3 linked regions of the Callithrix jacchus genome follow. The protein of the gene in region 1 interacts with the protein of each later gene in a biochemical or structural test. Links are inferred from orthologs where the notes say so. Each region holds a gene or a part of one and is shown on either strand. Other genes may lie near its edges.

The links. The genes of interacting proteins can lie anywhere in the genome.
Region 2: the proteins of PLCG1 (region 1) and ERBB3 form a complex in vitro, tested with the Homo sapiens proteins (2 studies listed by BioGRID and IntAct, with this or other methods). The link is inferred for Callithrix jacchus from reciprocal best matches to the Homo sapiens genes PLCG1 and ERBB3.
Region 3: the proteins of PLCG1 (region 1) and PDGFRA form a complex in vitro, tested with the Homo sapiens proteins (2 studies listed by BioGRID, with this or other methods). The link is inferred for Callithrix jacchus from reciprocal best matches to the Homo sapiens genes PLCG1 and PDGFRA.

The regions. Positions count from the first base shown.
Region 1 is NC_133506.1:36,521,083-36,524,636, forward strand, and holds the end of PLCG1 (1-phosphatidylinositol 4,5-bisphosphate phosphodiesterase gamma-1), read left to right. Parts: exon of another isoform or gene 1-332; coding exon of another isoform or gene 333-373; intron 374-633; coding exon 634-748; intron 749-869; coding exon 870-1,031; intron 1,032-1,139; coding exon 1,140-1,228; intron 1,229-1,339; coding exon 1,340-1,527; intron 1,528-1,664; coding exon 1,665-1,707; 3' UTR 1,708-2,955; downstream 2,956-3,554. Other genes in the region: ZHX3 (zinc fingers and homeoboxes protein 3), read right to left, coding at 333-373. UniProt on the Homo sapiens protein: Mediates the production of the second messenger molecules diacylglycerol (DAG) and inositol 1,4,5-trisphosphate (IP3). Plays an important role in the regulation of intracellular signaling cascades.
Region 2 is NC_133510.1:63,570,691-63,574,276, reverse strand, and holds part of ERBB3 (receptor tyrosine-protein kinase erbB-3), read left to right. Parts: coding exon 1-59; intron 60-1,129; coding exon 1,130-1,205; intron 1,206-1,396; coding exon 1,397-1,543; intron 1,544-2,266; coding exon 2,267-2,364; intron 2,365-2,455; coding exon 2,456-2,647; intron 2,648-2,790; coding exon 2,791-2,862; intron 2,863-3,586. UniProt on the Homo sapiens protein: Tyrosine-protein kinase that plays an essential role as cell surface receptor for neuregulins.
Region 3 is NC_133504.1:142,479,347-142,482,995, reverse strand, and holds part of PDGFRA (platelet-derived growth factor receptor alpha precursor), read left to right. Parts: intron 1-2,242; coding exon 2,243-2,347; intron 2,348-2,745; coding exon 2,746-2,856; intron 2,857-3,502; coding exon 3,503-3,649. UniProt on the Homo sapiens protein: Tyrosine-protein kinase that acts as a cell-surface receptor for PDGFA, PDGFB and PDGFC and plays an essential role in the regulation of embryonic development, cell proliferation, survival and chemotaxis.

The DNA of each region.
Region 1 (3,554 bases):
GGGGCCTGAGCAGAGTCTTTGAAGTGGTGAAGATAGCTTGCAGTATACACATCTAGGACATGTGCAGAGCCATTGATGGGGTGACTTGTTCTGATAAGAAATTTTTTTTCCCTAAGAGGAAATCATTTAAAAGGTTTTTGGAGGCCGAGGCGGGTGGATCACGAGGTCAAGAGATCAAGACCATCCTGGTCAACATGGTGAAACCCCATCTCTACTAAGAATACAAAAAATTAGCTGGGCATGGTGGTGCGTGCCTGTAATCCCAGCTACTCAGGATGCTGAGGCAGGAGAATTGCCTGAATCCAGGAGGCGGAGGTTGCGGTGAGCCGAGATCACGCCATTGCACTCCAACCTGGGTAACAAAAGCGAAACTCTGTCTCAAAAAAAAAAAAAAAAGATTTTTGTGTTAAAATAGACATGGATTTAACATAAAGTAGATTGCAAAACTCACATGGAAATTTTAGCTCAAGCTAAGACTAAATAAACTACGGGCAGCAGGACTCCATGGGCAATGTCCTGGGGGCCCAGCAGAGGGCGCACTGCCTCCACTTCACAGATGTCTGCCTGAGCCTCCGCAATCTGGGATTGGAGGGAGCAGGAAAGACAATCCTAGGCCCCTTTGTCTCCCTGCAGGTGCTGGGGGCCCGACATCTGCCGAAGAATGGCCGAGGCATTGTGTGTCCTTTTGTGGAGATTGAGGTGGCTGGAGCTGAGTATGACAGCACCAAGCAGAAGACAGAGTTTGTGGGTCAGTCTGTCTTCCCAGTCATCATCCTCCTCCTCCTCCTGGGGGCACCACAAGGCCCTCTCCACCAGTCATCCCATCCTCTCCAAGGGTCACCTGAAGCCTTTTGTTGTTGCCTTCACAGTGGACAATGGACTCAACCCTGTATGGCCGGCCAAGCCCTTCCACTTCCAGATCAGTAACCCTGAATTTGCCTTTCTGCGTTTCGTGGTGTATGAGGAAGACATGTTTAGTGACCAGAATTTCCTGGCTCAGGCTACTTTCCCAGTAAAAGGCCTGAAGACAGGTGAGGACCATTCCTGGAGGCAGTGCCCCTGTGATCTTGCTGCCAGGGTGGGGCTGGGCCCCTTGCTCTGTCCCTCCTGGGCTGAGGACCAGGGTTTCCTCCTCTTAGGATACAGAGCAGTGCCTTTGAAGAACAACTACAGCGAGGACCTGGAATTGGCCTCCCTGCTGATCAAGATTGACATTTTCCCTGCCAAGGTATCTGCAGCAGGAGTGGGCTGGCCTGAGGTGGGTGGGAGGAGAACAGGCAACACCCTCCTGAAGTGCAGAAAAGTCACTGACCCTCTTCTGCACTTGCCTTCATTGAAGCAAGAGAATGGTGACCTCAGTCCCTTCAGTGGTACATCCCTGCGGGAGCGAGGCTCAGATGCCTCAGGCCAGCTGTTTCATGGCCGAGCCCGGGAAGGCTCCTTTGAGTCCCGCTACCAGCAGCCATTTGAGGACTTCCGCATCTCCCAGGAGCATCTCGCAGACCATTTTGACAGTCGAGAACGAAGGTGAGGGAGATGGAGGGGTGCTAGAGCCAGCAAGGCTGTGGCTAGGTCCTACTTCAGTGTTTCTTTCTACTGGGTAGAAAAGTTGTAATACTGTCTGGCTTTGGGCTGTCCAGTTGACACTCTTCCCTTCTGTCCAGGGCCCCAAGAAGGACTCGGGTCAATGGAGACAACCGCCTCTAGTTGTACCCCAGCTTCACTGGAGAGCAGCAGGTGCTGTGCACCTCATGGAATGCCGTGAACTGGGTTCTTTGGAAGCAGCCTGCTGTGGCGGCCTTCCAAGTCTCACAGCCTGAAGCCTGGATTCCAGCAGTGAATGCTAGACAGAAACCAAGCCATTAATGAGATGTATTACTGTTTTGGGCCTCCATGCCCCAGCTCTGAGTGAAGGCAAAAACTGTACTGTGTCTCGCATTAAGCACACACGTCTGGCCCTGACTTCTGGAGATGGATCCTTCCATCTTGTGGGGCCAGGACCACAGCCGAAGCCCCTTGGAGAAGGAGGGCACCTCAGCCAGTGGCACAGGAGGCTCCAAGGAGCCACTGACATTCCTAAGAGTGGAGGAGGAGGAGGAGCCTTGCTGGGCCAGGGAAACAAAGTTTACATTGTCCTGTAGCTTTAAAACCACAGTTGGGCAGGATGAAAGGCTAGATGCCCCTGCAGTTTGGCCCTGGAGCCAGGGCAGAGGAGTGTGGGGTCTGTGTGGAGAAGGGCTCTGCCCTACCTGAGGAGGAGGACACAGCACAAGGGCACATTGCCCATGGCTGGGAACATGACCCAGCCTGAAAGATACAGGGGATCATGTTAAAAATAGCAGTATTATTTTTCTTCTCAATGGTATTGTAACTAAGTTATTTACTCCTCCTGCTCCTCACCCTTGTAGGGAAACCTTGGAGTAGAGCCTTGGAGAGGAGAGTGGCAGGTGGGCTGCCTGCTGTGTTAAGAGGGCTCAGTTTGTGATGTTAAGGCACTGTTAAGAATGGGGTGGGGGGTGGGTGGGAAGAGAAGCAATAGCAAAGCCTATTTTGGTGAGGTTTTTTTTTTTTTTTTTTTTTTTTAAAAGAAAAGCTGACTTGATATGCTTTCCCTGAGGAAAGAAAGGAATTGAGATGCCTGCCGCTTGGGTGGGCAGGGTAGTACAGGCAGCTGGGTGCTGAATGAAGCTGCCATGCTTATTGCAGCTTCTGTCTAACTGGTAAAACAAAATGATCTAGGGATGGAGATGGGAAGGTTAGAAAGGCAGCCCCCACCTCTGAGGACAGAGGCTGGGGTCCAGGCCCGTGGGTGCAAAGGTGCCTCAGCATAGCCAGCATTCAGCACACACAAACCTACTGCCCATATTTGGGCTCAGGGTTGGCCATTTGCTAGTTCTGCTGCCCTCTTAAGATCTGACTGCCAAATAAATCATCCTCATGTCCTTTTTCCTTTAACTTGTATGCTCTTTTGGTGGCTCAGGAAAGCCTGTTATCTGGGGACATACTCACCAGATGATTCTGCAATAGAAGCAGGTGGGACGTTTCTGGAAACTTTTCAGGTTAAGCAGCTGTTACCTTCTCTGGGCTAACAGGAATTGTGGGGCCACCTTCTCTCCTGCCCATCCTTCCAACAGAGTACATCTGCCTGGGTTCCTGGCCAGCCAGCTTTGGTGGTGATCTGGAAACCACCACAGCCCGTTTCCAGTTCCACAGAAACCTCTCCTTTCAAAACTGATGCATTCAGTTAACATTGCCAGGTGCCATTCTGGTTGCCTCTATGACTTGGCAGCTGAAGTCTCTGTGCCCAGAACATGGTTGAAAGGTCCTTCTCTTCCCGAGGCTCTGTTTTCATCATATTTTGTGCAGGGATGGAACAAAAATGATACCACACAATTTAAGATCTGGTTCCATGGATGACATGAACTGATAGTATCAAACAGTGATAGTGCTCAGGTTCTTGTGTGACTTTCTTCTAGAGCTTCACAGTCCCAGCTCAGAGAGAGGAGGGTGACCTTTTCCCATACAACTGAAGAAGGTGGTGGATGGGAATTCAC
Region 2 (3,586 bases), on another chromosome or scaffold:
TTGGTGTGGCTGACCTGCTGCCTCCTGATGATAAGCAGCTACTATACAGTGAGGCCAAGGTGAGGTGACACAAAGGGCTGGGTAAGGTGGTGGGGGTGGAGTGAAGCATGGGGATAGAGAGCAGTCAGTGGTCTCTTCCAGAGGCAAGCAGATGCTTCATGGTAAGTTCAAAGAGAGGAGGCTGCAGATGGCCAGATATCTTAGTTCAGAGAGCAACAAAGAAAAGAATGATCAAGAATTTGGTTGGAAAAAACCAACATGGTAACATGAAAGATGCCTAGCAGGAAAAAAAAAAGAACTTGGGACTTAGCCGGGAACGGTGGCTCACACCTATAATCCCAGCACTTTGGGAGGCTGAGGTGGGTGGATTACGAGGTCAGGAGTTCGAGACCAGCCTGATGAACATGGTGAAACTCTGTCTCTACTAAAAATACAAAAATTAGTTGGGCATGGTGGCATGTGCCTGGGCATGGTGGAGTGCCCAGCTACTCCAGAGGCTGAGGCAGGAAAATCTCTTGAACCCAGGAGGTGGAAGTGGCAATGAGCTGAGATCACACTACTGCCACTGCACTCCAGCTTGGGTGACAGAGCAAGACTCCATCTCAAAAAAATAAAAAATAGGCCGGGCGCGGTGGCTCATGCCTATAATCCCAGCACTTTGGGAGGCCGAGGCGGGTGGATCACGAGGTCAAGAGATCGAGACCATCTGGTCAACAAGGTGAAACCCCGTCTCTACTAAAAATACAAAAATTAGCTGGGCATGGTGGTGCGCACCTGTAGTCCCAGCTACTTGGGAGGCTGAGACAGGAGAATTGCTTGAACCCAGAAGGCGGAGGTTGCCGTGAGCCGAGATCGTGCCATTGCACTCCAGTCTGGGTAACAACAGCGAAACTCCATCTCAAAAATAAAAATAAAAAAATAAAAATAAAGGCTAGTCCGAAGGTAGTGAGTTATCTCAACTGATTGTTCACAGTCAGTTACAGATCGAACTCCTTATTCTACTCTTTCCCCCCTTCTCACTACTGCACTTGACTAGTCTTTAAAAAAAAAAAAGAACTTGAGACTTGGAAATGCTTGTCTCAAAAAAATTTGTGGAAATAAACGTGATATCTCTATCTTGAATCCACAGACTCCAATTAAGTGGATGGCCCTTGAAAGTATCCACTTTGGGAAATACACACACCAGAGTGACGTCTGGAGCTATGGTCAGTGCATCTGGAGCTCTCTCTACCATCACTGCCCCCAATTTCAAAGTTACCGTTTGAGACCCCCCTCTTAGAATCTTAGAATTTCTAAGCATTTCAGATTTTTGTGTCAGATCAGGTTCTGCCTTCCCTTCACTTCATGCCCATGTCTACTATTTTGCCAGTGACTACTACATTTCTTCTTGCACCAGGTGTGACAGTTTGGGAGTTGATGAGCTTCGGGGCAGAGCCCTATGCAGGGCTGCGATTGGCTGAAGTACCAGACCTGCTAGAGAAGGGGGAGCGGTTGGCACAGCCCCAGATCTGCACAATCGATGTCTACATGGTGATGGTCAAGTGTGAGTTACCTGCTAAGCCCAGACATTTTCTTTTTTTTTTTGAGACAATGTCTAGCTCTTGTCACCCAGGCTGGAGTGCAATGGCATAATCTTGGCTCACTACAACCTCCACCTCCTGGGTTCAAGTGATTCTCTTGCGTTAGCCTCTGGTGTAGCTGGCATTACAGGCACCGGCCACCGTGCCCAGCTAATTTATGTATTTTTATTAGAGACAGGGTTTTGCCATGTTGGCAAGGCTGGTCTCAATCTCCTGACCTCGTGATCCTACTGCCTCGGCCTTCCAAATGCTGGTATTACAGGTATAAGCCACCATGCCTGGCATGACCTCAGCTATTTTCTGACTTCCCTCTGTACTCCTCTTCTTAGGGCTCTATTCCCTTTTTTTTTTTTTTTTTTTTTTGAGATGGAGTCTCGCTCTGTCACCCATACTGGAGTGCAGTGGCATGGCCTTGGCTCACTGTGACCTCTGCTTTCTAGGTTTAAGTGATTCTCCTTTCTCAGCCTCCCAAATAGCAGGGACTATAAGCGTGCACCACCTAGCTAATTTTTTTTATATTTTTATAATTTCAGGATTTCACTATGTTAGTCAGGCTGTAAACTCCTGACCTCAGGTGATCCACTCGCCTTGGCCTCCTAAAATGCTGGGATTACAGGTGTGAGCCACTGCACCTGGCCATGGCTGTATTCCCTTTCATGTCTTTATCTCCTACATCTTACCTCCAGGTTGGATGATTGATGAGAACATTCGCCCAACCTTTAAAGAATTAGCCAATGAGTTCACCAGGATGGCCCGAGACCCACCACGGTATCTGGTCATAAAGGTGAGTAGGGAGTAGGAGGTGCTAAGGAAATTTTAAAAAGGGGGAGTTGGTTGGAACCAGGATTTCCCCTAACAATCACCTATCAATATAGAGAGAGAGTGGGCCTGGAATAGACCCTGGGGCAGAGCACCATGGTCTGACAAACAAAGAGCTGGAGGAAGTAGAGCTGGAGCCAGAACTAGACCTAGATCCAGACTTGGAAGCAGAGGAGGACAACCTGACAACCACCACACTGGGCTCCGTCCTCAGCCTACCAGTTGGAACACTTACTCGGCAACGTGGGGTAAGACACCTTCTAATTACCCAACGCTTTGCACCTTGAGCCCTCACCAACCTATAGAGACCCAGATTAACTACTCAAAAGCCCCCGTGGTAAATGTAGATTTCTCCCTTCATCTTAATCTTGTCCTTATTTTTTCATCCTAGAGCCAGAGCCTTTTAAATCCATCATCTGGATACATGCCCATGAACCAGGGTAACCTTGGGGAGGCTTGCCAGGTAAGGTCGGTAGCTGGCTGGGTTTTAGGATCAGATTGAGAGTAGTATGGAAGACATTAGAAACCTCCGAGGTTTAATCAGTGTCCTGAAAAAAAGAAGGCAGTGAGGGCCAAGCACAGTGGCTCATGTCTGTAATGCCAGTACTTTGGGAGGCCAGGGTGGATGGATCACCTGAGGTTAGGAGTTCAAGACCAGCCTGGGCAGCCGGGCGAGGTGGCTCACGCCTGTAATCCTAGCACTTTGGGAGGTCGAGGTGGGTGGATCACGAGGTCAAGAGATTGAGCCCATCCTGGTCAACATGGTGAAACCCCGACTCTACTAAAAATACAAAAAATTAGCTGGGCATGGTGGCACATGCCTGTAATCCCAGCTACTCAGGATGCTGAGGCAGGAGAATTGCCTGAACCCAGGAGGTGGAGGTTGCGGTGAGCCGAGATCGCGGCATTGCACTCCACTCTGGGTAACAAGAGTGAAACTCCATCTCAAAAAAAAAAAACAGACCAGCCTGGCAATATGGTGAAACCCTGTCTCTACCCAAAATACAAAAATTAGGCAGGATGGTGGTGCACACCTGTAATCCTGGCTACTCAGGAGACTGAGACAGGAGAATTGCTTGAAATGGGAGGCAGAGGTTACAATGAGCTGAGATTTTACTACTGCACACCAGCCTGGGCGACAGAGACACCGTCTCAAAAAACAAAAAGGCTGGGCGCAGTGGCTCACG
Region 3 (3,649 bases), on another chromosome or scaffold:
GAAGATGCATTAGATATTCTTTTTTATATATTTGGAATATGGAATATAAAAATATAGGTACATTTTAAGGCAAAATGTGTAAAAATAAGGAAGCCAACTTATCACAAGCATTTCAAATATTTCAATCCTGGGCTGAGACCAAGTATGTGAAGCTTTAGTCCAAGGGAATATTTCTTTTTTAAATCACATTCCGAATGAATGAAAACAAGACACAGACAAATGAAAGTAGAGGTAGAGGTTGTGTTAGATGAATGATCTAACAGTATATATGTTAACGAATGCCAAATGCAGGTTTTAATTATCCACCTGTCTCATTCCAAAATACAGAAGAGTTTAAGTCTTCTTAGAGAGTTACTTCAACTGAGAAATCAAGCAAGTCACCAGAGTGAAATCACCTTTGCAAAAATTGTAACTGAGGAAATTATGACAGTGAATGAGATACGATCCAATCAACTCCATCTTGCTTTAGCTTCCAAGCTGTCCTCGTTCCTTCCTGGGCATAGGCCGAACCGACTTTGAGAGGAACTTGGTTTATAGTTTGACTTTGATAGGAAGACAAGAACAGCCCTTTGCCCAAACAAACCCTCTTCTTGCCTGGGAACTAGACCACCTTTGCAAGACTAACAAATTAACTACAAGATTAGAAAAGATGGTTTAAGAATCACTGCTGTAAAACCTGAGGTCAGTGCTTGAGATATTTTAGAGACCCTGTATTTCAGTGCACCAGCTGACACCACCCAGGTCTCATCTGATCTTGTGGCCTGTAACTAGGAACTGACTCAGCTCAAGAGGCCAGGGTCAGCTACCTATGATTTCATCTTTGACCCAACCAATCAGCACTCCCATTTCACTCTCTACCCACAAAATCATCCTTAAAAACCCCATTCCCTCAGTTTTCAGAGACACTGATTTGAGTAATAATAAGATTCCAGTCTCCTGTACAGCTGGCTTTGTGTGAATTGAACTCTTTTTCTATTGCAGTTCTCCTCTCTTGATAAATCCGCTCTGTCTAGTCAGTGGGCAAGGAGAATCCATGTGTGGTTATAAGAACTGATCCCAATTTCAAATACTTATATCTAAGCATTCTTTATTTTCTTGCCTATTTCCCAAAAAGGGATGAGGAGCTTAGGGAGTTAAAAAGTGGTAAAATAGGCCAGGCATGGTGGCTCCTGCCTGTAACCCCAGCACTTTGGGAAGCCAAGGTGGGCGGATCATCTGAGGTCGGGAGTTTGAGACCAGCCTGACCAACATGGAGAAACCCTGTCTCTACTAAAACATACAAAATTAGACTGGCATGGTAGCGCATGCCTCTAACCCCAGCTACTCGGGAGGCTGAGGCAGGAGAATCGCTTGAACCTGGGAGGCGGAGGTTGCAGTGAGCTGAAATCGTACCATTGCACTCCAGCCTAGGCAACAAAAGCGAAACTCTGTCTCAAAAAAAAAAAAAAAAAAAAAATAGTAAAATGTGGGGAGAAAGGCACTATTCCCATTATACCAAGATACATTGCTGGCGAAGCAATACCTTTCGAGGTACAATTTCCAGTAACACAAGCATGCAGTAAGAGGCAGTATTGGCTGTTAGTGTCTTTGATGAGCCGAGTCTTTCCCTGGCTTGCCTATCCATGATGAGACTGACACCTTGGGAAACAGTTCTCGAAGACTGTGAACCCTTCCAGGGTGGGGACAGCAGCTTCAGTGTGCTCTCCGGCCCGGTTAGTTCCTGGTGGAGTAGCCTTCCTAACAAACAGGGAGCCTTGAGCCCAGCCTGAAGTTTTTACTTAGTCACTCCTTGGAATCAGTTATATTTTGAATACTGAAATATTTCCAGTGACTAAGAATTTACTAAGACAAAAGATGCCCCTGTTTGCATGTGGAAAACAGAAGGAGAGAGAACCAGGGGATCTGGGTGAGAGCCCCTGAAGGCGGAGGATCCCAGGGGCTGGCCCTGCACGCAGGGGAGCCGGTAGACAGCGGGTTCACACCGGGGAGGGATGCACCCTCCTTTCTCCGTCTGTGTTTTCTTTCCTTTGCAAATGTTATTTGACAAAAGCAATTATGCTAATTTCCTTCCCTGTGGGCTCAATTCTGTTTTTGACACCGTGACTTAGAGGAGTCATTATGCTTACTCCAAACGGGAAAGACGCCCTCCCGCCCAGCTGTCCACCCGCCGAGCTGGCTTCCGTGCAGAACGCTGAAGAGGCTTCTGGAGTTCTTGGGCGTTAATGATTCTGCCTGCCCACAGGTCGGGTGTTGGGGTCTGGAGCGTTTGGGAAGGTGGTTGAAGGAACAGCCTATGGATTAAGCCGATCCCAGCCGGTCATGAAGGTTGCCGTGAAGATGTTAAAGCGTAAGTGCTCCTTCCTCGGGATGTTATGAACACGGTGATATTAAGGGAATTGCTCAAAATCATACAGCTAGTAAATAAGACATTTAGGACTAGGTCCCGGTTCTTTTGACTCTAGGTTTTATGTGTATTTAGACAATGTTGTCAATTAGATTTATTTAGATTGCTCTTGTTGCCTGTATGTTGGAAAATTAAGAATTGTTGTTTCCAGTGGCTTCTTTTTACCAGAAAGACTAGGAATTAGATATTAGCATTGAGGCCAAGTAGCTATCCGCTTCTTTTAGACTTTTGATTAATAGAATGATATCTAATCACAGGATTAGTCATGTTCTTTTTTTTCAGTCTGAGAATGGGAAGTTGGTAGCCCAGCTGGACTGATGTGTGATTCATTCCTTCAACAGCCACGGCCAGATCCAGTGAAAAACAAGCTCTCATGTCTGAACTGAAGATAATGACTCACCTGGGGCCACACTTGAACATTGTAAACTTGCTGGGAGCCTGTACCAAGTCAGGTGGGCTCTCTGACCTGGAGTGAGGGCTTTCACTGGACACGTGTAGTTGTGAAAACTGTTCAATTCGGGCTTAAATCCTCCACTCTCCATCCCCGAACATGCCAGGAAATAGAAGTCCCTTGAATGGAGCTGACCAGTTCCCTTGAACTGATAGAAGCTCATTGTTTTTGAGCAACATCTGTTGCCAGTCCAGTCATAGCCATTCATGGCTTTTTTTTTTTTTTTTTTTGAGCTGGAATCTCACTCTGTCACCCAGGCTGGAGTGTAGTGCCACGATCTCGGCTCACTGCAACCTCCACCTCCCAGTTCCAGTGATTCTCCTGCCTCAGCCTCCTAAATAGCTGGGACTACGGGCGTGTGCCACTACAAGCGCCTGGGTAATTTTTTGTATTTTTAGTAGAGACTAGAGAAGGGGCTTCACCGTGTTAGCAAGGATGCTCTCAATCTCCTGACCCTGTGATCTGCCCGCCTTGGCCTCCCAAAGTGCTGGGATTACAGGTGTGAACTACCGTGCCTGGCCCATGGCTTTAAAAAAAAAAACTTTTAATGTCTTGTTTTTTTCTGTCCCATATGATCTGCAGGACTATTCCTGGCTTTTCTGTTCTTCATTTTCATACCTGTCTCCTAACGGTTTTTGTCCCCACAGGCCCCATCTACATCATCACAGAGTACTGCTTCTATGGAGATTTGGTAAACTATTTGCATAAGAATAGGGATAGCTTCCTGAGCCACCACCCGGAGAAGGCAAAGAAAGAACTGGATATCTTTGGATTGAACCCTGCTGATGAAAGCA